3 linked regions of the Lepisosteus oculatus genome follow. The protein of the gene in region 2 interacts with the protein of the main gene of each other region in a pairwise test. Links are inferred from orthologs where the notes say so. Each region holds a gene or a part of one and is shown on either strand. Other genes may lie near its edges.

Region 1 (7,001 bases), on a different chromosome or scaffold from region 2:
AAAACACAAATGGCCAAATTTTCAGGCCTAAACCAACACATATGTAGTGATAACTACACACAGCTGTCTGAAATGCAGTCATGGTACACTGATGCAAAATGAAAATGCAACAGTTTAAGTTGAGGCAACAGTGTGGACTAGTGGTGAAGGCTCTGAAACAGTAGGATTATAGATTCAGATCTCATGTCATATTCTGCTGTTGTACCCTTGTGCAATGTATCTCACTAAGATTTCTCCTAAATGCTGTGCTCCAGAAAAGGGTTCCTCCTAGGTCATAAATGGGATGACCTAAATGGGAATTTGCTTTAAATTGACCTATCTGGTAATTTAATAAAGTTTTAAGTAAATAGCTTATAATATTCCATTCCAAATAGTAAACAGTTTTCTTTTGATTGAGTATTACTATTTAATGGAATAATAAAACAGATAAAGTTATTTGATTTCATAAAAAAAAGGTAGGTACTCAGTGTTTGGTTTTTTAGATTATTAAGAATCTATATTATGGTCTATTCAGAAACACAGGCTGCATTTTTAATACTCAGGTTCAGGTTTCCTTTCTTCTTAAAGGGTTCCCCTATATAAATAATCCCAAACCACCTTGTTTTTCCTGTTTTTTTCTGCCTTTTTCCTGATGACAAAGAATCCGTGAGGGAGTGGTTAGAAGCAAATGTCATTTTATACACTCCAGGGAAAAGACATTTCATCATCATATATTGGGGCTTTGGTCTAGTATATCCAGAAAGAAAGAATCTATTTTAATTATAGCTTTAGACCTTACAGCTGGAGGGATTATATTAGTTTTTTTTGGGGGGGTTTACTCTGTACAGCATCAGATCAGTAAAAAACTATTTACAAAGGCCAGTATAATGTCAATAGCACCTAGAATATACAGTATTGAGGAAAAACATTATTTTAATTCTCTGAAATATATTAATAAATTGTCCTTCGTAAAAAGAGCAGACACTGGCTTAAAATAATTTTTTAACAAATTGTCCAAAATATTTTTTTTCTCAATGTATATTTTGCTTATAAAACACAGTTGTTCTTATTGCATTCATTTATTTTTTAGTGCTATGTTTATATTAGACAGATATTCACAATCGTATTATGAAATGTACAACTAACATTTTTTCAGACATAATGAACATAAAGTACTGTTGCATTGTTGAAAAAGTATTTTTTTTTTATTATTATTATTATTAACAATAACAACAACAGGTCCTTACACTTATATAGCGCTCAAAGTGATTTACAAAATGATTTACATGTAATGGGGGCTCCCCTCCACCACCAACAATGCAGCACCAACCTGGATGATGTGACGTCAGTTATAGTGCGCCAGAAGACTAGAAGAGAATAGAATGATAAAGCCAATTGAGAGATGGGGATTATTAGGAGGCCATGAGTGGTAAAGGCCAATGGGAAATTTGGCCAGGACACTGAGATAACACCCCTACCCTTTTAACATTACCAGAAAAGCAGGAATTACAAACATAATCCTAAGTGTGTATTAAACCTCTAGCATTTCTATGATTCAGAAAACTCATTCTCAGTATTGGTAAGGATAACATTGGAAACAGTGGTTTTAAAACTATGTTAAATAATTAATAAGCGCTGAATTCCCTTTGACAGGCAGAAAATGCCCAAATTAATGCAAAATCAAATAGAAACCTGAATGAAACCATTCAAATGGCCAAATACATCACAAGGGATATTAGATTCAAATATAAGTATTTTACCATTTAAGAATATACAGCTGACAAGAATTCAGTTGTAAAGATTAAATTAAGTAAATTCTTATGAAAAAGGCAGTGGAGAGTTATACAGTATATAGACACTAAATCCTCTGAGGCAGGGACAGGCTCCTCTCCAAGCTCCATACAGTAGGAATGGTCTTTCACTGATGCCATTCCTTAGCTCATAAATAGACATAGCCTAGATGATTTTAGCTCATCCAAAAAAATGTTTGCAAACTTGCTTAATTATGTCTGCATGCACAAACATCTCACCTACTCTGGCAAATCTGTAACAAGGATATATCAGTGGATTCTGATGTGCGACAGTAAAACAAGTCAGCTATTTCGGTGGTAAAAGATTAAAAACAAATCCTGTTAAGAATTTATGTACCATATATAAGATAATAATTACATAAAAATAAACACCTGTTGAAGACTTATTCTATTGGTTATGTTGTAATGTATCCATAATTATAAAGATGATTCTAGTTAACAGAGTCAATAGATTTTAGCTGATATTCAGTATTTTAGGGACAAAACGTAAGGATTTAGCAAGAACAATTAATCAATGTTATTAATATGTTCTCTTTATGCCATACAAATTGAGCTTTATCTTACTAAACCTGGTCATCATTCTTCTCAACATTTGTTTTTGTATTTGGGTGACATTATTATTTAAAAAAAACTTGCATTTGTGATTAATGCTCAAGGATGCAACTGCAGTGTTCCATTCAGGGTTAAAACCCTTGACTTTCCAGCTGGAATCCAGAACCCTGACTTTCTTACTGCTGGACACTGCTTCTTATCATTTGTCTTCACACAAAGGCTTCTTTTCTGTCTTCCTACAAAGCTTTGCAGATGATATGTATGTACTGTACACTCTCTTATTGAGAAAGCCATTTTGAACCTTAATGAAATTTGCTTCAATGGAGCTTGGTATCATTAGAAGGTATAAATATGTATAATTAAGTCTGGGTTACAAACCTAGATAATTTGACCTGTTTTTGAACTGGAATTTCAAATTGTAACCTACAGTAGGAGCCTCTCTGTCCCCACCTCTGGATTTTTACAAAATTTTGAAGCTGTATATCATCACCACAGTAATTAAAGACATCTGACAAATTCATCCATTAGTACAAGATGCATACCATTTGTAGAACAATTACAAATTCTGGTAATCTGATCTCTGAATGTTCATGTGACTCAGAAAACAATTTTTTCTTCCCCATTCCCAGAGGATTCATACTGTAGTTTCTGTTGGTTTCTGTTCTTTACCTTTAATGTTTATAATGCAACATGACATTTTATAAAAAAAATATTTCCTAGAACTGTCCTTTAATATTGCTTAAGTGTGAGAAGTCTAGTGACAAACATGACTGATATAATTCTGTTCTAAACTATAAAATGAGTGCTTTATCTGCTTTAAAACTGAATTAAGGCATTTAAATAGAACGATACCTTATTTGGCATCGTGATTAGGTACCCCTGGGGCTAGGTATTCGCTGACAAAGTGGAATAAAAGAATTGAATTGAAGAAATTCAGTATCTAATGTGTAAAATGCATTGACTTTCATAGTTGAATAGTATGGCAGTGCACAGATATCACAAAACGCAAATTTACTTTCCTGGTTTCCCATTTTGCTCTCAACGCACCAATTAATTTGTCCCGTCTCCCTAAACATTCATTAGTTATGCTATTAAGTTAAACGCAAATGGTGGTCTAAACTAGATCCATTGATTTTCAGCGCCCTCAACAGCACAATGTCAGACAATTCAAAAATGATGTCCTTTAATTGCGACTTAAAGACACTCCACCCGACATCACAGAAATTATGATGCAAGTCAATTTGTAGTAAGTTATTTACTAAACTACTAACAACAACAAAAAAACAATTGTTATTATTACAACTGCACTGCTGTTGCTGTTGTTATGAAGCTGATTAAGTTTTGGAAGTATGTTGTGTATTACTGTATATTTTGTAAGCGGCTCTGGGTATGGGCGTCTGCTAGGCAAATGTTATTAAAAACCTAGGTAATGAAGCTGAAAATAACAAAGGATTACAGAGTAGGATTTTCATATTTAACACAATTATAGAAATACAAAAATTGCTCTAAGGCACAAAGTGTTTGACTTATATTACGTCCGGATTTACTGCACCCCTTAGTTTACATTAGCACCAACTTGGCAACACGCTCCTCTTGTCCCCGCCCTGCTAAATGCTCACCCCTCTGCATACTGCATTTGTTACAAAATCCACAGGCCAACAGGGCTAGACCATTCCCTGACACAAGGAAGTGTTTCCGGAGGCGCTGGGCAATTTTACACTCCTGGCTTTCTCTGCTATCAGGGATGAGCGGCGTACCTGCTGCTGCAATCAAGATTGATTTTACCATCCCCGGACAGCTTTAAGAAGGGACGAAGTTGAATCCAGCTCGCTATGTTTTCCCGCATTCCCCCGTTTGGTTAGTGGTTGTTTCTTCCTGCTGCCATGTTGGATAGAGCTGCCGATGCTGCTGTTGGAGTTCGGATGAAAGTTTAGGTTTTTGTCCAACCGAGAGATCCAAGTTTCTGGGGCACTTCGGAAGGCCGAGGGATTGTTTGCATTAAATACCCAAACTACAGAAACAGAACAGTATTTAACCCCCCCACCCCCGTCGCATTCCTCTCGGAGAGAAGCACCTACAGCATCAATGAGAAGATCCGGTGGAAGGCCACGCTGATCAATGACTGAAGACATTTTATAAAATACCTTAATTAGTGTTATATACATATATTCGTCTGGCTTTTTACCCCTGCAATCATGAATAGCCAACATCCCCCTCCGCCGCGGCGTGTCACAAATGTGAGCTCTATGCTTCTCACCCCACAAGAAAACGAATGCCTCTTCAATTGCCTCGGCAGGAAATGCATCGTAAGTTTTAACATTTACTTACTCGATTTTAGTCTCGTCCATACTATTATAACTTGTAGACAAGTATGGGATCTTCTTGTAATTATCTTAAAACAAATTATCGGCCAAGTTTTTCATTAAAAACGGCCTAAACTGCATTGGGTTTTTTTTTTCTAAAGAGAACTAAAGTGAAGCAAAACAACAGTGCCTGGATCCCCTTGGTCTTAGGTTAATGCTTGCGTGTACGGTTGTGGGTTTAAGAGCGTGGATATGGAGCGTGCTGTCCTGGCACTGGCTGTCCGGAGGTCGGTGTGACAAGGCAGGGGAGCCCCGAGGCCGCGTTCGTGTCCGACGGCGTCCGGAGCGCGAGCCGGAACCTCTGCGCTCCGCGGTGCCTGTTTATTTTCCTCATCGAATATGGAGCTGGCAAGTTCGGTCAGCTGGAAAGCACATTCTATGAGGGATTCCATTACATAACACTGTTTTTGCTCCACTCGGATCACTCAGCAGCAGAATAAGATAGTGCCGCTGTACTGTCGCTTGTTCTAATGTTGATTTGTTTTTTTTTTTCATAACATTCTCCGGAAAATGTCATTGCGTTTAAGAAACTGGGAAAGCGAGGGGATGGCAGGGGTTAAAGGGATGCCTAAACTCAGTTGTGTTAATTTTTGAATGTTCAAATATATCAGGAGAATCTCAGGAGAGGTGGGGGTGCCATAAGTTACAGTATGTTCAGTTGAGTCCGAGGGCGCTAATAGTCGACTGAGTAATTTCTGCATTAGTGTTACAGCATGTTCCTGTTGATACAGGGCCTGTATGTTTCCAAAAAGGAGCCTTCAAGGGCGTTATGGATATTTTCGCCTTGTAACGCCCTATACCTGCCTTACTCACCTGCTGCGGGGAGTTAGTGTCGTTGTGAACTAAGACAAGCTTCTTGCAGAGGTAGCCAAGTGAAGTGAACCATTCACTATAACTTTGTAACTTCAACAGGAGGTAATTTGAAAACATTATGTAAAAAAAAAATCTTGCAATCGAATTCATTTTGAACTGGACTGTGTTTCGTTAAACGGCTTTTTGTTTTTCATATGAGGTTGTTTATTAAATCATGATACTTATTAAATCCCTGCCTATAGCAGTTATAATTTAAGAACTTCAGAAGCCTGCGATTAACAGTCCTCATCTCAGCGAAGTATCTATTGTGCTGTCACCTGATCATGCGTCATCAAGATTTCGTCCCTTTCTCATGCAGCAGTTGTTAAAACGCACACGCAGCTTTTTAAAAGATCTTTATTCCTGCATACATATCTATTTAATCACTTCATTGTGGATACCAGAAAGAGACGCGATTCATTAGAATTACTGTAAGGTTTACTATGCGGCATTTTATCACTGTCGCATTAAAGTGGCTTAGTAGCAACAAAGTCTCCTAAATTGTAAAATGTTTTTCTGTTGCTCTGTTCAGCACAAGTGTTGATGTACTTTGTCAAGCATTTATGCATGCTGTGATAAAGTTATTGTAGCTCGTTTATAAACGTACGTAAACATGAATAGTTATCTGGAGCGATGTTAAATTGTGACAGTTTTTAAATTAGTGAAAAGGGGTTCTCCCAGGTTAATAGCAGTTACCTACACATTTATGATACCCGGTCAAAAGAAAAAAAAAACACGTGAAAAATGTTGCACAAGTCTTTAGATTTACTGTGCTTACCATTTTTTATGACTATCTAACAAATTAAGTTATTTAATGGATGTGCTTTTTAATCTGAAATACATCTCCTCTCCATCAGTGTAAAACACTATACCTATACCTAGAGATTTGAGAGTATGCAGATTGCAAAGCAGAAACTTTTGGTTAATTGTACACTGAAAAGTAGAAACGAAACCCATGTCAGCTGTTGAAGTTTTGAGCCTTGCACCTGAAGAATGCTGAACAGCTAATATTAATTTATACTTGTTCCATTATTTATATATTGTCTTTTTTTCTGTATTATCATATTTGAGATTTCCCCAAAATTTGTGAAGGCTTAGTGTTTGTAAAAACCTAATTTCTGCCTTCACTGTCTACAAATGTCTTTATAGAAACATGTTTTGTAATATTTTATTGAGATGCACAGACCCTAAATACACTGACATTTAGGGAATAAAAGTATTAGTTTCTGAAGGCATATGAAAACTAGTTTGAAAATGAAAACTGAACTGCTGCACATGAATCAATTCATATAATGACCCATATCATATATGAAATTAATCATCTTGTAAGGTTTTCTGTAGGGAAGGATCAATAATGTTGTAATAAGTCATATTTCGTAAGTGGTATTTTTACTCGCTGTCCATGACTTCATATTCACTCAGCAATGAAAAACCTTTTGACTTT
Region 2 (7,325 bases):
TTATGTAACCTTGACATAGTGAGCATGGAGGCTGTCAGACCTCTCTTCCACTGTTGCACAGAATTACAAGGTCTCTCCAGGGCATGCTGCTGTGTAGGATATCTCCCAGACTCTGATGCATGCACAGTCACCATCCTCACAGAAAAGTTCATTTTAATGGTATTTCCTATGTGGGCTTCCATTCTGCATCACCAAGTTAATTGATAAACCTGTACACGGTCTGTCAGCCTCAGGTTTAGAACAACTTTCTAAAATCTCCTAGCATTCCTTGAAGTTAAAGCATTGTTTCCTTTCTTTCCATTTAGTCAAACTATAGTTGCCCTCTCCTTTCTTAGCTGATGTGTTATTTATTCAGCATGATTTGGTGGTTTCTTGAATTGTTAACAATTGTGATTTTAATTAAACGCAGTTTTGTATATTGAGTGACAACACAGTTCCCCATTGAAATGTGTTGACAGAAAAGCTACAGATTACTGCACACTGTCATCACTGAACAGCACAATTCTAATGTTTATTAGACAACACAACAAGATCTAAAAAGCAAAGGGGCTTATTACATTAGCTTTGTTTTTTTTTATGAATCTTCTGTAGTTGGAACTTAGTTTGGAAAACTGCAGGGCCTTTAAAATCAACTACATGCAATTGTTTTTCAGATACAACAATGTGACCATTCTAAACCAAACCCCTTTTTCTTTAAAAAGTGTAAATTCTGCCATTAAATAGCATTGTATAAATGTAGGGTAGATACAGAAAACATTATTCTGTCCCGTCCCCCCTAAAAGAATCTGATTTTTAAAAACATTATCAAGCCTTACCCCATCTCTGAAACATTTCATCTAATTTAAATATGAACAATTTCCGTCAAGACCAGCAAAATGTTTTTAGTGCTTTTCTTTTTCAAGATTATAACCTTAATCTTATCTAGAACGTTGATCATGTTACTTATGGAATAAAAACAGCATTAGCAGCTTAGCCACTGTGTTTTTCTGCTTTTGAGAGACTTTAAGTTTCATAACTGTAGAAGAACTTCAATATTGGAACATAATCTTCAAGCAGCTCATTAAGGTTGCAAAGAGTTAATATTTTAAATGTATTTGAATGTTTGTACTAGTTATCGAAGCCTCTACTTTGAAATGTCCGATGGATTTCCGAAAATACATACACCCCCCTTTTGGGCCAGTGGACAATTGGCATAAAGTTCATATGAGTGGAAAAAAATGTGAATCTTTAATCCTGTGATTTAAATCCTGCTTTTCTCATATTCCCACTGGATCTGACATGTGTTCAAAAATGATGTCAGTCCTTCCAGGAATGAAGTGATACAAGAACTACGGTCATATTACCATATCCTCCCATCTTTCAGGAAGCAGTCCGAGACTCTATGACTGTGTATTCAAGTATGTCTGTCTCACCAGCTGCCTATCAGTTTGACTGACACCCAAAGAGCAGTGGAGCCCTGCACCCAGGCTAATTCTCTCACCCATCCTGGCACCTGTACAATACGACCAGGGCAAAAAAATACTGAGACGGTTCCAGACCAGAGCCAGTGTCCTGTCTGCCACAGAAACTTAAGTCTAATTTAATTCCCTATTTCTCTATTATTTCCTCTACTTTTTGTAGAGGCAGCTACTGATGTCAAGATTCTCAAGAGGAACAGTGAATCCAGATAGTAACAATATAGTGATAATTGTATACACGCACTTTGCCACTCTATAGAATAATTCCCTAGAAATAAGCTCCAGAAAAACCTGTACCATAGTAGCAGTTTGCAAAACAATTACCATTTTTGGATCTGTTTCTTCATAAGCTTTTTGACCTGCCTGTTGTATTAAATGCATGTTCTAAGATTTGTACTCTTAGCGTTTTCAACAGGTTTTGAAAAACACATAATTACATCAAGCCCCTGGGGTCAGACTGTGTTTAGGTGGCTGGCTTTTGTCTGCACGCTCGTTTAAGCTGTGAAAATAACCACAGCTTGTTGCTCTTGGAAAAAAAAATCAAGGCCAGTGCAATTCAAAATATTTTCACAACAGGCTCCACAATTAGCATTATGGGATGCATTTGAGCGGTTTTGTTAATATCGACCCGTCTTCAAGCAAGTTATAATTAGTGGGACCCACTAATGGCACGGTTTGTTTTCGTTTGCTCTTCGGTCAAGAGGAAAGGCGCTTTTCTCCTTGTTACCTAACATTACGCAATGATGACAGCTGGTATTTCGTGTCAGAGACAGATAGCGGTACCCACGTCTGTCCGGGGAGCAAGTATTCCACAACCCGAGCCTTGCTGACACGGAGGAAATAAGATACTGTAGCACTATTGTGTGCAATCGCAATGATCTAATTATACTCCACAATTCACCTTTTCACTTGGACTCACCACTCCGCACCGCCAAACAATTACAGTAAGCCGAAAGGGTCGAAATCACGTTTTTAGGACTCGAACCCACAAATCGACCCCAATAAGTATTTTTACCCTTCCCCACTTTTGAGTGCGCCAAGAAAAGTCAGTTGGTCTAAAGCACAGAAAAGTGCATAAACTTTTTCTGTGTTTTGTTATAACCCAGCGCCCCCATGGATTCTCTTTTTTTTTTAAATATAAAACCACGTGTCAAGTTTCGCCTTTGAATTTTTAAAAGCCCTTCTCTAGCAGGCAGCCGTCTGCCGCCACCAGCCCCAGGCCCGGGTAACGTCCTCGGGCTAGCAGTTACGCTCGTCTCCCCCGTCCTCGCCCTCCGTCGCCGAGCCCGGCCCGTCCCTGAAGACCCCCTGGCCTCACGGAGATCGGAGGGGGGGGCGGGCTGTGTCCAGGCAACCGCGCACGGTCGGCGGCACTGTACTCTACCTGCATAGTGGTCAAACACCGTGGGCACGTACTCCTCCGGGAAGGCGTCGTTGGCATAGCTCATCAGCAGACAGGTCTTCCCCACTGCCCCGTCGCCCACCACGACACACTTCAGCATCTTTTTCACATTATTCCGAAAGCTACCGCCGCTGCCATCTTCCTCCCTAATTTCCATCCTGCTTCGCCCGCTACCAGCATGGACAGAAAAAGTCGCCCGAACTTCTTCTCTCTATATTTATATTTTGTATTTCTTACTGCGGGTATATTTCGCAGCGCATCGCGTTTTCCCGGGAGAGGGGGGTGGTGGTAGAAGATTTACTTCTGCCCCTTGCGTTACAGAAAGACCGGTAAGAGATCGAGAAGTTTTGGTTTGTTTTTTTTTTTGTTTGTTTTCGCTTTCCTCGCTTCTTCCCGTTGAGTCGAGGATCAGAAAATCTGCAAGTCTGCTAGCCCCGGCTTCGGCGCTGGTAGGACTGGTCGCTGCGAGGGCTCAGCGCCGGGGAAGAAAACTTCACGAAGGTTGTCACGGTTAGGCTCGGGAAAGCGTCGCATCCCGTTTAAAATCCTCGGCGGGTCTCCCGGAATGAGAAGAACGGCTTGGTGGGCGATCGCTTCTTTGTTATTTTGCCGGCTGTATCTTTTTATTTTTTCCTCCTTTCCCCCCCCAGTTCCCTGAGATTGGTTTCTGACCCCCCGATCGCTCTCCGCTGCTTCGCTACAGTGTCAGGAAATCATGGGTTTCCTAGCGAATTCCATATTAGGCAGAGTGGGCTGGGAACAATGGTAGGTCTGTGCCTTATGTCCAACACAGGAACTGCACCCGAGCTGGGGGAGGAAAATCCCAGGACACCGGCGCTGCTTCCTTTTACCTTCGGTTTACCCTCCAAATGGGACGAAACCGCGCTGGGGACGGGTAACGGGCTGTTATTAAGGATGGGGATTCAGAACGCCTGCCGAGAATCCCGTTTTGCGGGGAATCGACTGGATCCGTCCCGGCTCAGAGATCTAGCGCCCGGGCGTCTTTATTTTTCTCCAGATGTTTGCGGAGCCGTTAGTTTGAAACTTGAACCGCTTCCTCGGTGCATGGTGGTTTCAGCCGGTGGGTTTTTAATAGCACCGCACGGAAAACTGAGGTCTGCGCGCCCGCCTCTGAAATGACTGCATTTTTTTTTTTACCAGCGTGAGAAGCCTTTCACGGAGCGTTCAACTGAAAGAAAAAAAAATCTGCTGCTGTTTTTGGGTGAGGTAAAAAAAAGACTTCACCTTTTCGTTCAAATAGGTTTTTCAAACATGTTTCGCACTTTTATCACATCATTTACTTACTACCTACAGCTACGAATAGCACAGCAGGTTCAGTTCAACACTAAGAAAACGGACCGTTTATAAAATAAAATAATGTACGGAACTGGGGGGGAATCAGACTGCAATTCACCTTGTCCTGACACTATAGTTTCATGAGCACGGTGCACCAAAGAAATTTCAATGTGCACTAAAAACAAAACAGTCTCAAAAATAGTTTTGTACATGCAGCTGTAGTTCCGCTGATTTGGAGGGTGTGTGGAGAGCTGTCTTTAATATCAGCTGGTTTATCAGCGTAACGGGGCAGCTGCTGGAAGTCATAAGCAGTACTGTAGTTTGGACATCTTACAGCGCGTTTTTTTTAGCTTGTAAACCAGCAAAAGTCCGTTTAGTGATATTATACAGCGGAATCATTCTTGTCGTCGAACAGACTTTACAGCAAATTGTGCAAAGATTAACACGTGGAGAAAAATAAGAGCAGACCCACCCACACACAGGAAATCTGTTAATATAATGCAAATATTTGATTTCGTACTTTATAGCTTATGTAGATACATTCCAGGTTATGTATAATATTTATGAAGTAATGAAAGTACAATTTAAGTAAAAACAGAACAAAAAAGTAACATAAACTTTCAGATCACCTTCCTCTAAACCTCCCAGCGAACAACACGAGCCAGTATTTACCAGCGATTATTTCGACCCACTAATGTTATTTGCTGAGGTTATCAGAAAACAATAGGGTAGATAAGATAATTACTGCATAGCTGTTTAATTCACACCTGCCACTGACAAAGCCTAATTAGTCACAGCTGCTCTTAATTAAGCACTGTTAACCAATTGATCTCTTAATGCAAATCCAGTCCTTTCGGGACTGCGAAATATAGCGACTTGAATGTGGAATTGTGAAGAGTTTCGTGCATCTACCTCTGGGGTCCTATAGGACCATTCGACAGATGTCTAAATCACTACTTGTTGAATTTCGGGGGGGGGGCAGTCTTGATCACTTCATCCCAAGAATGGTAAAAAAAAAATCCCAGTATTGTGTACCTTTCCTCACTGTAAATATCTGCACTACACAAACACATATGCCAACCTATCAAGTTTCATTTTTTTTGTTTTTTTTTAAATAGTAACATTTGAATGAATCGCGCACTTGTACTGAGTTGTTATTTGATTAATACGCAACACTCCACCCACCCCTTTCCCAACCCTTATATCCAGTACAGCAGGGCTTCCCAGTCCTGGTCGTGCAGACCCACACACACCTGTTGGTTCTTGTTCCAGGCGAGCCCTCAGATACACAATCTGACCCCTCATTTGACTCAATAACAACTAGGGACTGGAAACAAAATGCAGATATTCAATTGGAGCAACTTCTCAGATCCACCAAGGCATCGGTTACCTAGTGACGGTGGGATAGGATGAAACAGAGCAGGCACGTGGTCACGGTGGGCACCCGAGCCTGTCCCGGCAAGCAGGGCGCACGAGGAGGGATACATCCAGGACGGGACGCGAGTCCATCGGGGGGGCCAACACGGACAAACAGTCACAGTAGGGCTAATTGTCCCACGGCAAAAAACCCATGTCAATATGGGAGAACATGCGAACTCCACACGGACAGCATCCCAAGCATTGAACCCAGCGCTGTGAATCAGCAATGCTAACTCCCGTGCCACTGTCCCTACAGCACTCTTACACTAATACACGTATGATCCAATTCAAGGGTTACTACATGTTTGTAATGCTCTCTACCATTTTCTCCCTCGAAAAACAGATTATCCTTTCCGACAACAACATCAAAGAGGCTAAGGAATTTCTACGGCTGACAGCTCCACACCATCTTCCCTTCATAACTAACCTCATTAGATCTCTCAACTCTAAACTCTACCAGTTTCGCACTACAGAGAAGGACAAAAAACTCAGCAGCTCACACCTGAAGAAGGCTCCACGGCCGAAACGTTGTGTTCTCTTTCTTCTTTTTTTCAGCATGGAATAAACCTATTACTTGTTCCTTTGTAACGCTTACCCCTTACAGTATTGAACAACATCTGATCTTAGGGTTGACTCCAGACTCCTGACTGAACCAAGAACCCGATTGGCTCTTACTCATATGATAACACGCTGAGAGCCGCAACTGAGGGTGGTGGTTTGTTTTTTTTGTGTGCAAACTGATTGATTTCACGTGACTGCCCACAGGTGGAATTCTGAGAGAAAGAAGCCCTTCCCAAAAATCCCATGTCCTCCTCACGCGTGTAAGCTTACGTTTAGGCTACCACTCCTGGTATTTACAATTTCGGTAAGCCTGTTCTTTCACAGACAAGCACGGAAAAAAAGTCCGTCAAGTGAGTAATCAAGCGAGGGACGGAGGTCTGAGTAAGTCAGAAGTCCGCGTGTTCGCCACACTTACCAATGTGCTTGATCGGACATAGCAACGATTTTCCAGAAGTGATGGAGCTGATGTTCCAGATATAAATAAATCCCAGAGAGGCGAGACCGGTGCGAAGACCCAGTCAGTCAGGGAGACTGGCGGAGCTGCTCCCGGCTCCTATGAGACACACACCGTTATACCAGACGTCATTTTAATTTCACATACCTCTGTTTTCCCACGATCAGGTTCCCTAGAGAATTCTTAATTTTGATGTCCAATTTTTTTTTATCGTCAGATTTCAGAAGTGTCGACAGCCTGGTTTTACTGTTTGCTTTAGATGTTGAAGTAATTAAGAAGGAAATCAAGCGTTGCAGGAGATTAACAGCCTCGATCCTAAGTGTTCATAAATTAGGACCGGCTCCTCCTGTCTGTAACCCCCACAGGTCCGTTGTTGCCATAGACCTCTCCCTAATTGCAGTTCCAGTCTTAATCAGCGCTTCTCATGGGGAAACACACCTACCCATGTTACGGTCGGGTACCAACAAAAAAAAGGAAACGCATCTACACGTGTGTATTTCAGAAACCTTTGAACAACGGTGGAGCACTGTTGGTCTTTTCTTCCATTTTTCTCTGCCTCGCCTGAAAGCGACAATCCCCCGCCCCCCATAATATCAAGGCGCTAGCTGCGCACCCCTATCTCCATGGCACCTCTACCGCCGCCGGAGAATCCGGCGCCTCCAGGCTGGAGCGCTCGAGTGGGAGTGCGCAGGCGCGCCCAGCCGGGGAGCCCGCAGTTTACAGAGCAGCGAGCGCC
Region 3 (7,785 bases), on a different chromosome or scaffold from region 2:
TTGTCAAGTTTGATGCCATTCTTTTCCGGGATGACAGTGTTTAATAGACCATTTTTTGTGTTTTCCCTTACTTGTCGTTTATCGTTTATTTTCGTGAATATGTATACGCCATGAGAATAGTTTATTTAATTGCATTTATTTTAGCTCCAGCGCTCCTTAAAGCAGATTTACAGTCAGGTAAATTCACTTTTTTTTGGCAACAAGATAATCAGACTCGGTAGTCAGAAAAAGAGCGAGGTCATGGAGAGACGATGAAATATAATATTCAGTATAAATATCGGGAAATTCTGCTACTAATAAACACGATCATGGTACTTAGTCTATACATAACATTTAACATTTTAGCAACGACCAATTATTCAAATGAATCCTAATGTTTTTTGTACCTTGTAAAGAGAACCCGCATGTGTATGATTTTTAACAGAAGTTCATTGAAGGCTCTTTAAAAACACGACAGATCGCAGTTCCAATTGACGTGTTTCAAGACGCTAACGTTGTATTTGAAATCGAGAAGTGAATTCTTTTGTTCCTGAGACGCTGAGTCTGAGTTAATTATACCGTCTGATCTGGATTAATTCTGCCCCAAGAATATAGTCTACGTGTTACTCAAATTGTAGTTATAAATCGATTGAATGTTCTCGCTTTTTTTCCCCAATTTTAGTTACATTTCTGGTATTATTAAAAATCCAGTAGATTGAACAGCCAAGTGAACTGATTTCACAGGACATGAATTTGACAGCATTTGTTTTCACATTTGCAGTGAATGCATTGACAGTATTTAAGTTTATTTGTATTTACCTACTGGGAAGCAGTTTTAAATATTATATTCAAAGTGATACACCTTGATACACAGATAAGCTCATACACTTTGATCACCTGCTTCTTAGCATAAAAGATTGTAAACAGAAATTAATTTGAACTTTTTAACATGGGGTTTTGGGGTATGTAACTGGATGTCTGTTTTGCAGGAGAAGAAAGATGTGGCTTCACAAGGGAATGGCTGGAATCACTCACAGTGTCAAGGGAACTCAGGAAAAATGGTTTTCACAGGTGATTGCTTATTGTGGAAATACATCTTTCAGTTGCCTATAAACACAACAACACAGTGCTGTATTGTGAGCCACCTGTATTGTGAGCAGGGAAGTGAGATTTAGTCATGCTGTTTCATTAATGTGCCGTGGGCATTATGGCTCAGTTTCAGTAAGCAATATGTGTGAAATATTGAAGTCTGTGGCTCTATATTTAGGGAGCTTGTGACCAGTGTATGCTGTGGCCTGGGGTCTCCCAAAAACCTGCATTTCCTGCTGGTGGAGAGGCTTCCCAAAGGAATCTACATTGACCCTTACCAGCTAACATCAGAACAACACGACACTGGCTTACAGGTAACAGGCACTACAGGAGTAGTGAGAGTAGGATCACACCATGGTAACCACAACTTGCTGCACCAAATACGGAGTATAGAGGATTTTCTTTCTCCTGGTACTAGTCTGAAGTTTCATCTTCTTTCCCCTCCATTTCAACATTACAAGGAAGCTATTGCTTGAATTTTTTAGTCTTTTTGAAACAAAAGAAAAAAAAAACGTAATCTGTGAAGCCTCTTTTTAGGGTGGGGGAGAGGTAGAGCCAAGTCTAAAGAAACCTCCACAGCCAAAATCTTTTCCTGTTTTGTTTTACTTTTCAGAGTGGAATTAACCTCTGCTTGTAACTTTTTTTGCTGTGCCTGTCACGGTCTGAGTTTTACACCAGCAGTTCTTTTGGGCACATGCATTCATTTCATTTTAAGGACAGTAGTTTCTTGCATAAGGTAGGTGAGCTCATGTCAGGTGATTTCATAAAAATGCCTTGGGGGTTAGTGCTAGTTAATTGAGCGATTTAAAAATGCCAAATGATTAAGACTCTCTTTAAAAACAACAAAAAACATGACCATGCATAACTATTTTAGTACATTTATGTCACATTAAATATCGGAGATCTTTTAGAAGCCCCACATTTTTTTTAAAGAGATCAGGTGGCAAATTTTACAGTTCTTTTGGACTGACAGGGTTCCATCTCCTTGTGCAGGTGCTTCTGGACACAGAAATTGATGTGGAAGCCCCGGCGTATGTTTCTTCTGCGTTTCCTGCCCTAGTTTATCCCACACGGGACCCTGCATCTCCTGTGTGCTTGAAGGCAGTTGTGCCAATCCATGGGCGCTATCATCGTCCTTCAGATTCCGGGAAGAGAACTGCCCCGATTGACATCGAGAACCCCCACCTGCTGCTCCGAGCAGACTCCTGTGAGTCCTCGGGTCTGTGTGTCTGGCAGCACTTTCTTCTTGATATAGTGACCTATGTGTGTCAGTTTGCAAAGCAGTTTTTTTTGCCTTTATGATGTTTCACCAGGGGCAGACTAATAACATGTCTGTCTCTGATGTTAAAAGCTTTCAAAGCAGGAACAGAAGCCTTCTTGAGTAATTTCAAATAAATGCATGATCCGTTATCACCTTCAGAAAAATATGAATCGGTCACTCCAATCAAATTACAGAAAATTGAAGACTACAGAAAAGGCTCAGCTGTGGAGCCGTACTCACTAATAAACATGCTTTTGGGGTAATTGTCTTATTTCCTGTTTGCCTTGTCATCTGATGATGAAAACACATCTACACATACAACACAAGTGCTTTTCCTCAACAATATAAAATACAAATCAATGCTTTCACTCATTATATAATTGCATTTCTGTTTTGTGCTTTGTTGGGTTGTTCTTAAAACTTACTAGTAAGTAATAAGTGGGAATTAATACCTTACTTTGCATTTTGGAATAAGTTTTTAAATTTAAAGATTGTACAACATCCTGTACCTGAAAGCACATTACTCCTTGTGCTGTTTACTGTTTTGTAGTATTTTCAAAGTACAGAAAAACACGTGCCTCTTAAAGCAGACCCTTTGTGCTTTTTTGCAGGTGATCTGCCTCCGAACTTCATCCCTTATACACTGACGGACGCCCCCTGTACAGCTCTTAATCACAGCATGTGCAGATGGCTGCAGATACATTCTGCACAGGTACACTGTCGCCAGTCTGTCACTGTGGTCCTACTGCTGGGGCTAAGAAATGACTATGCATGTTTATCCTCTCTTACTGGGTGTGCTCCTAAGATATTTTTAAGTTTTAAGCATGGGATATGTTGCTGGCTGCAAAATAGGAAGGTCTCAGAAAATAGTTACTGTCTCGGGTGCTTTGGTCATGGTACTGTCCTGCCGTCTTGATAATTTGGGTGTAACATTGGCATCTGTTTGATGAGCTTCAAACCGCTCATATGGAGACTTTGACCAGGGGAGGCCATAATGACTTGGGTTCAGTTACCAAGAACTCTACCAATAACGATTTCCTTAAAAAAAACAAAAAACTGTTGATGTCTCACTAAGAAATCAGGTCTGTGCGGAAACTGAAATAAATTTCGCTGCCCAATCTTCTCACTCTCTTCAGGAGCCTGGGCCGCTGCGCCTGGAGATCCCCGTGGGGGACATGCGACTGGTTGGATTGGTTTCCGCTGCCACCCTGCTCGTGACCCTGCTGAGCTGTGGCTACCTTGCAGGGGCCGTGTGGAGAAATGAATTCCTCCAGTCTCGTCCCCCTGTCAGCCAGGGGACCTGACGCCCGGTCCTCAAAGGGACTTTCCAAAGTGTTTGTGATTGCCTGGACAAAGGATTTTAAACATTAGATCTGATGTATAATAATTTATTCTAAAAGCTTCATATTTATATTTGTAGATTCTCTGTTTAAACTTAAATGATGACAGATATGCAAAACTACTACCACTACTAAGAATAATCAGCCACTACATCTGGTGTGAATTTGTCTTTTGGGCGTGTACACCGCATGTTAGCATTGCATTGGGTGGACATATCTCTTTAAGTGTGGGAGTTTTGTATTTGTCAGAAAAGTAAATAAAAACTCGAAAATGGTGTCAAGCTTTGTTGCTCTTTATACATTAAACTATCTGTTTGCTCACAGCTGAAGAAGGCCTCAAAGCTGAAGCAGTTTTTTCCCTGTCTTTCATTAATACTCTGTAACATTTGTTGGGAAAATTGTTTTGCACCCTTGCAACTATGTTTCACATTCAAACTTACAAAAACAAAAAGTAAAAATATGCATTATACTAAAAATGTAACATTAATGTATAAAATCCACATCATATTCACCTTAAGTGGATTTAATGGTCATAGGGGAATTATGACTTGGAACAAAAAATCATGTTTATTTGACTAGTGTTGTGCTATCAGTAATGATCATGTGCAGGTCCAGGCCTAGTATTAATTCGTTTCTACGTTACTGTTGTTTTTTGTAGAGCAGTTTGGAATGCTTTTGGTGGCACTTTTAACATATTGGAGCTGGTATATAAAGTTTGCTTCGATTTAATTGTGAAATTACTTCATTCTAAAACCATGCCCTGCACTTGTTGTACCACTCTGAAAGAACTACAATTCCCTTTCATACATCCTACACTACTCCTTTCTGTGTATTCCTGGGAAAAGCAGTCCCGACTCCTTCACCGCCCTATTTCCAGAAAACGCTACGAGAGGAAGAGAGAACTACATCTCCCATAGTGCTCTTCGTGCGAAGCGCTGCAGGGACCCGCTGTCTTTGTTTTCTGAACATTAGTTTTTTTTTTACAAACGTGTGGGTTTGTTTCAGTGAGCAGGCAACACACGTTAAAACGTTAAAAATTCCTCCTGAAGAAAAAAACACAGATTGCAATTAGATTGTAATTTCTAATGTCATCCGACACTGGGTTGGGTCGGTAGTTCCGCTTCCCCTCCGCCATTGCGGGTTTGTCCCGGTCTAAGAAGATAAAAGAATATAAAAGGAACGCAAGAAAAAGAAAGAAATTGCTTGGATATTGTATTGGCAGAATTTGGGAAGGGGAGTGCACTCAAATAGTGGTATTTTAAAAAAACGATATCTGAACTCTTGATTATCGGTTCTCGTAGGAGGCGGAGCTAGCATCTAAAGAGTTTTGTGGAAGTTTGGAGCTGAGAGTTTCGCCTGGTGAGTCCTGAAGTTAATTATTTAACTTGCTTTGGTGTTCGTATATTTTATAAATTGGATTGTGTAAGTTTCGAAAATACTATGTTTGCCGAGAAACTGCATGAATGTGATATTTGGCAGGACACCGGTAGCTTCTTTATGTCGGAAACGTGATATAAAAAGTTTTACAGAAGAGTTGAAATCGGTGAAAAGTCTCGTATTTCATTACGTATTTTATTGTTGCAAGTAGTCTTTGAATTTATTTAACAGACGACAAATGTCACTGGCATTTATTTTAGCAGAAAAAATCGGTTATAGTTTATTTTGTCTAAAAAGAACAATACAGGTGTATGCTCTCTCAATGTGAATTTGCACAAACAGGATTTAAAATAATCTAAAAACACTTTTTAGTGGAGATATTTGGCATTTTTCCTTCCACTCTTGTTTATGTATCACCATTGGAAATTTTTATTATAACAGCACTCAAGATACGACTGATTTCAGTTAATGTAATATTGAATGTGACAATGAATGTTATCCGTTTTTCCATTGCACTTAACACCGAATTGCAGTTCTTTGATTTTACTTTATTAATCATATTTTCAACTTAATTTTGTGAACTATAATACGGGATGGTGGAAATACACGAGAATATTGACTGGTACAATAAGTCATTCCCCAGTCCCTCTTTTTAATACAGGAAAATCGTAAATAATGGAGGAGAGCTCAGAAGACCACTATTTCATATACATTTTAATCCATCTCTGGTGTTCAAGGTGCAAGCTCTAATGAGAGTTAAGTATTTATGGCCCAAATTGTATATGTTCAGCCACGAGAGGTAATGTGTTTTTTTTTCTAAGAAAAGAAAACATTCTTGGTGACCCATGTGAGAAGACAGCTTGCAAACCCCAAAACTGATCAAAGACTGTTTAATCTGAGTTTTATCAGCTGTTCAGTGCAGTTTAACAAAAGGAGCAAGTCATAGGTTTATTCCATGCTGAAAAGAGAAGAAAGAAAACACAACGTTTCGGCTGTGAAGCCTTCTTCAGGTGTGAGAAATACAGCCGAAATGTTGCAGAAACGTTGTTTTCTTTCTTCTCTTTTCAGCTTGGAATAAACCTATTACTTGTTCCTTTGCAGCCTACGCATGCTGACGCAGCTCCCCACCTGAACTAGTTTAACAAAAGGTTTGTTTTGCGTGTTTCTGATGTTTTGCTGGAGATTTAGTTAAGAAGATTGGCAGATAGTGCTTTCTTGACACTGCAGCACTGCATTCGAATACCTCATTATGAAAGTCATGTGTTTAGCCACTAGCACAGCACAAAACCTTTCATTAGTTACATTTTGAATAAACAGTTTTAAGTTTTATGTCCATATTTGATGTCCTGCACACCTGGCCAAATGTTTTTTACACAGAGTATGCAGAGTTCCTAGAAGAAAAGTCATGGTTGCTTTTAAAAGTTATAGGATTATTGGCCATTTTCTTTACAGCTGAAGCAGGTTATAGGTATGATGTAGTCTTGCCTGTCCTGTGTTAATATTCCCACACACGGTGTGATGTAATGTTTGTATATATGGTTTGAAATTAAGCCCACTTGAAAATACTATCCTTGTTCAGAAGAAGGGCCCAATTTCTCAGTGAGTGGAGTAACCAGAGCTCTAAGAAAAGAGAACTTGCCAGTTAAAACCACACTGGCTATATTGCATTACTTTTCGTTTTTCAGTTTTTTCACTTGAACTTGAATGTCTGTAGCATAACAGTATAGTACATTTCTATGTTATAGGGAACCTGCTTTCTTTTGGATAGGTAGTGTTAAACGAATAACCTCTTCTGTTCAGCCAGCCCATTGTAACCTTGGTGAAAACAAAAAGCAATGTACTTTTTTTTTATCATGGCAGTGTCTGTTTTCTTTTCATTATTTTATTGAAAAAAGGGAGTTCCTGGAGTTTGTCGCCACACAGAGCCGAGGTAAAACGTTGGGCATGGATTGCAAAAAATGTGATTTTTTTTTTTTCCTTGTAGATGTTTTTTAGAGGAATTGGAGGAAATTACGTGAGGGGTTGGTGGCGGTGTATCCCGGGTGTGAAGCAATGCAGAAAGCTGATGGACAGCAGATAGGCTGGTACACACACTCCATCAGTGAGAACTGCCCAGGGAGCCTCTGGGTCGAGTAGTAGTGTCATGTGTCTGCCGAGAGAGAGACCGCACTGTTTTCACCAGGCACCAAGGGGAAATGGGACTCGCAGACAGAAAGGAAGGGGGCAGGTTACCTCACACCAGGAAGCACCGTTCAGAATTTCCTTTTATAGACTGCTGCAAATACAAAGGCTCAAAGTCCCCTTTTCCTGTAAACAGTCACTCTAGTGCAGGCTTTGTGGCAGGCACACGGGGGGAGACGGTCCTCCTGGAAATGAAAGCTGGCCTCATCGGCTTGTAGAACATATCGCCAGGCTCCATAGCCAGCCAGCAGCTGGCTTTCAAAACTTGGCAGATGACAGCAGCTGATGCTAGGTGCTATACAACACGGTAGTGCTCTCCAGCTAGTGCCCCTGGGTTCACAGTTCAGACATTATTACAGCCATTCTGCTCTCTGTTTGAATTGTAGTAGAGCACCTGTTGTGCTTTAATGGAACTTCTCTTTCATTCGTTGGGGGAGGTTTAATAAGGCTTTAGAGCCCAGGACAGACAATGTCAGTTTTTGTTAGTATGGTGCCACTTACAGTAAATTAGAGGGTCCCATGGTGCCCCAACAACCACTAGCATCAGTTTAATTTAAA

The links. The genes of interacting proteins can lie anywhere in the genome.
Region 1: the proteins of rhoj (region 2) and wasla interact in binary tests that used the Homo sapiens proteins (3 or more experiments, as listed by UniProt). The two-hybrid records come from large-scale screens. The link is inferred for Lepisosteus oculatus from reciprocal best matches to the Homo sapiens genes RHOJ and WASL.
Region 3: the proteins of rhoj (region 2) and pak2b interact in binary tests that used the Homo sapiens proteins (3 or more experiments, as listed by UniProt). The two-hybrid records come from large-scale screens. The link is inferred for Lepisosteus oculatus from reciprocal best matches to the Homo sapiens genes RHOJ and PAK2.

The regions. Positions count from the first base shown.
Region 1 is NC_090702.1:38,463,090-38,470,090, reverse strand, and holds the start of wasla (WASP like actin nucleation promoting factor a), read left to right. Parts: upstream 1-3,977; 5' UTR 3,978-4,537; coding exon 4,538-4,648; intron 4,649-7,001. UniProt on the Homo sapiens protein: Regulates actin polymerization by stimulating the actin-nucleating activity of the Arp2/3 complex. Involved in various processes, such as mitosis and cytokinesis, via its role in the regulation of actin polymerization.
Region 2 is NC_090703.1:7,695,036-7,702,360, reverse strand, and holds the start of rhoj (rho-related GTP-binding protein RhoJ), read right to left. Parts: upstream 3,023-7,325; 5' UTR 3,017-3,022; coding exon 2,842-3,016; intron 1-2,841.
Region 3 is NC_090708.1:10,584,879-10,592,663, forward strand, and holds the start of pak2b (serine/threonine-protein kinase PAK 2b), read left to right. Parts: upstream 1-4,761; 5' UTR 4,762-5,028; intron 5,029-7,785. Other genes in the region: pigx (phosphatidylinositol-glycan biosynthesis class X protein), read left to right, coding at 111-177, 969-1,050, 1,247-1,382, 2,062-2,275, 2,941-3,041, 3,466-3,633. UniProt on the Homo sapiens protein: Serine/threonine protein kinase that plays a role in a variety of different signaling pathways including cytoskeleton regulation, cell motility, cell cycle progression, apoptosis or proliferation.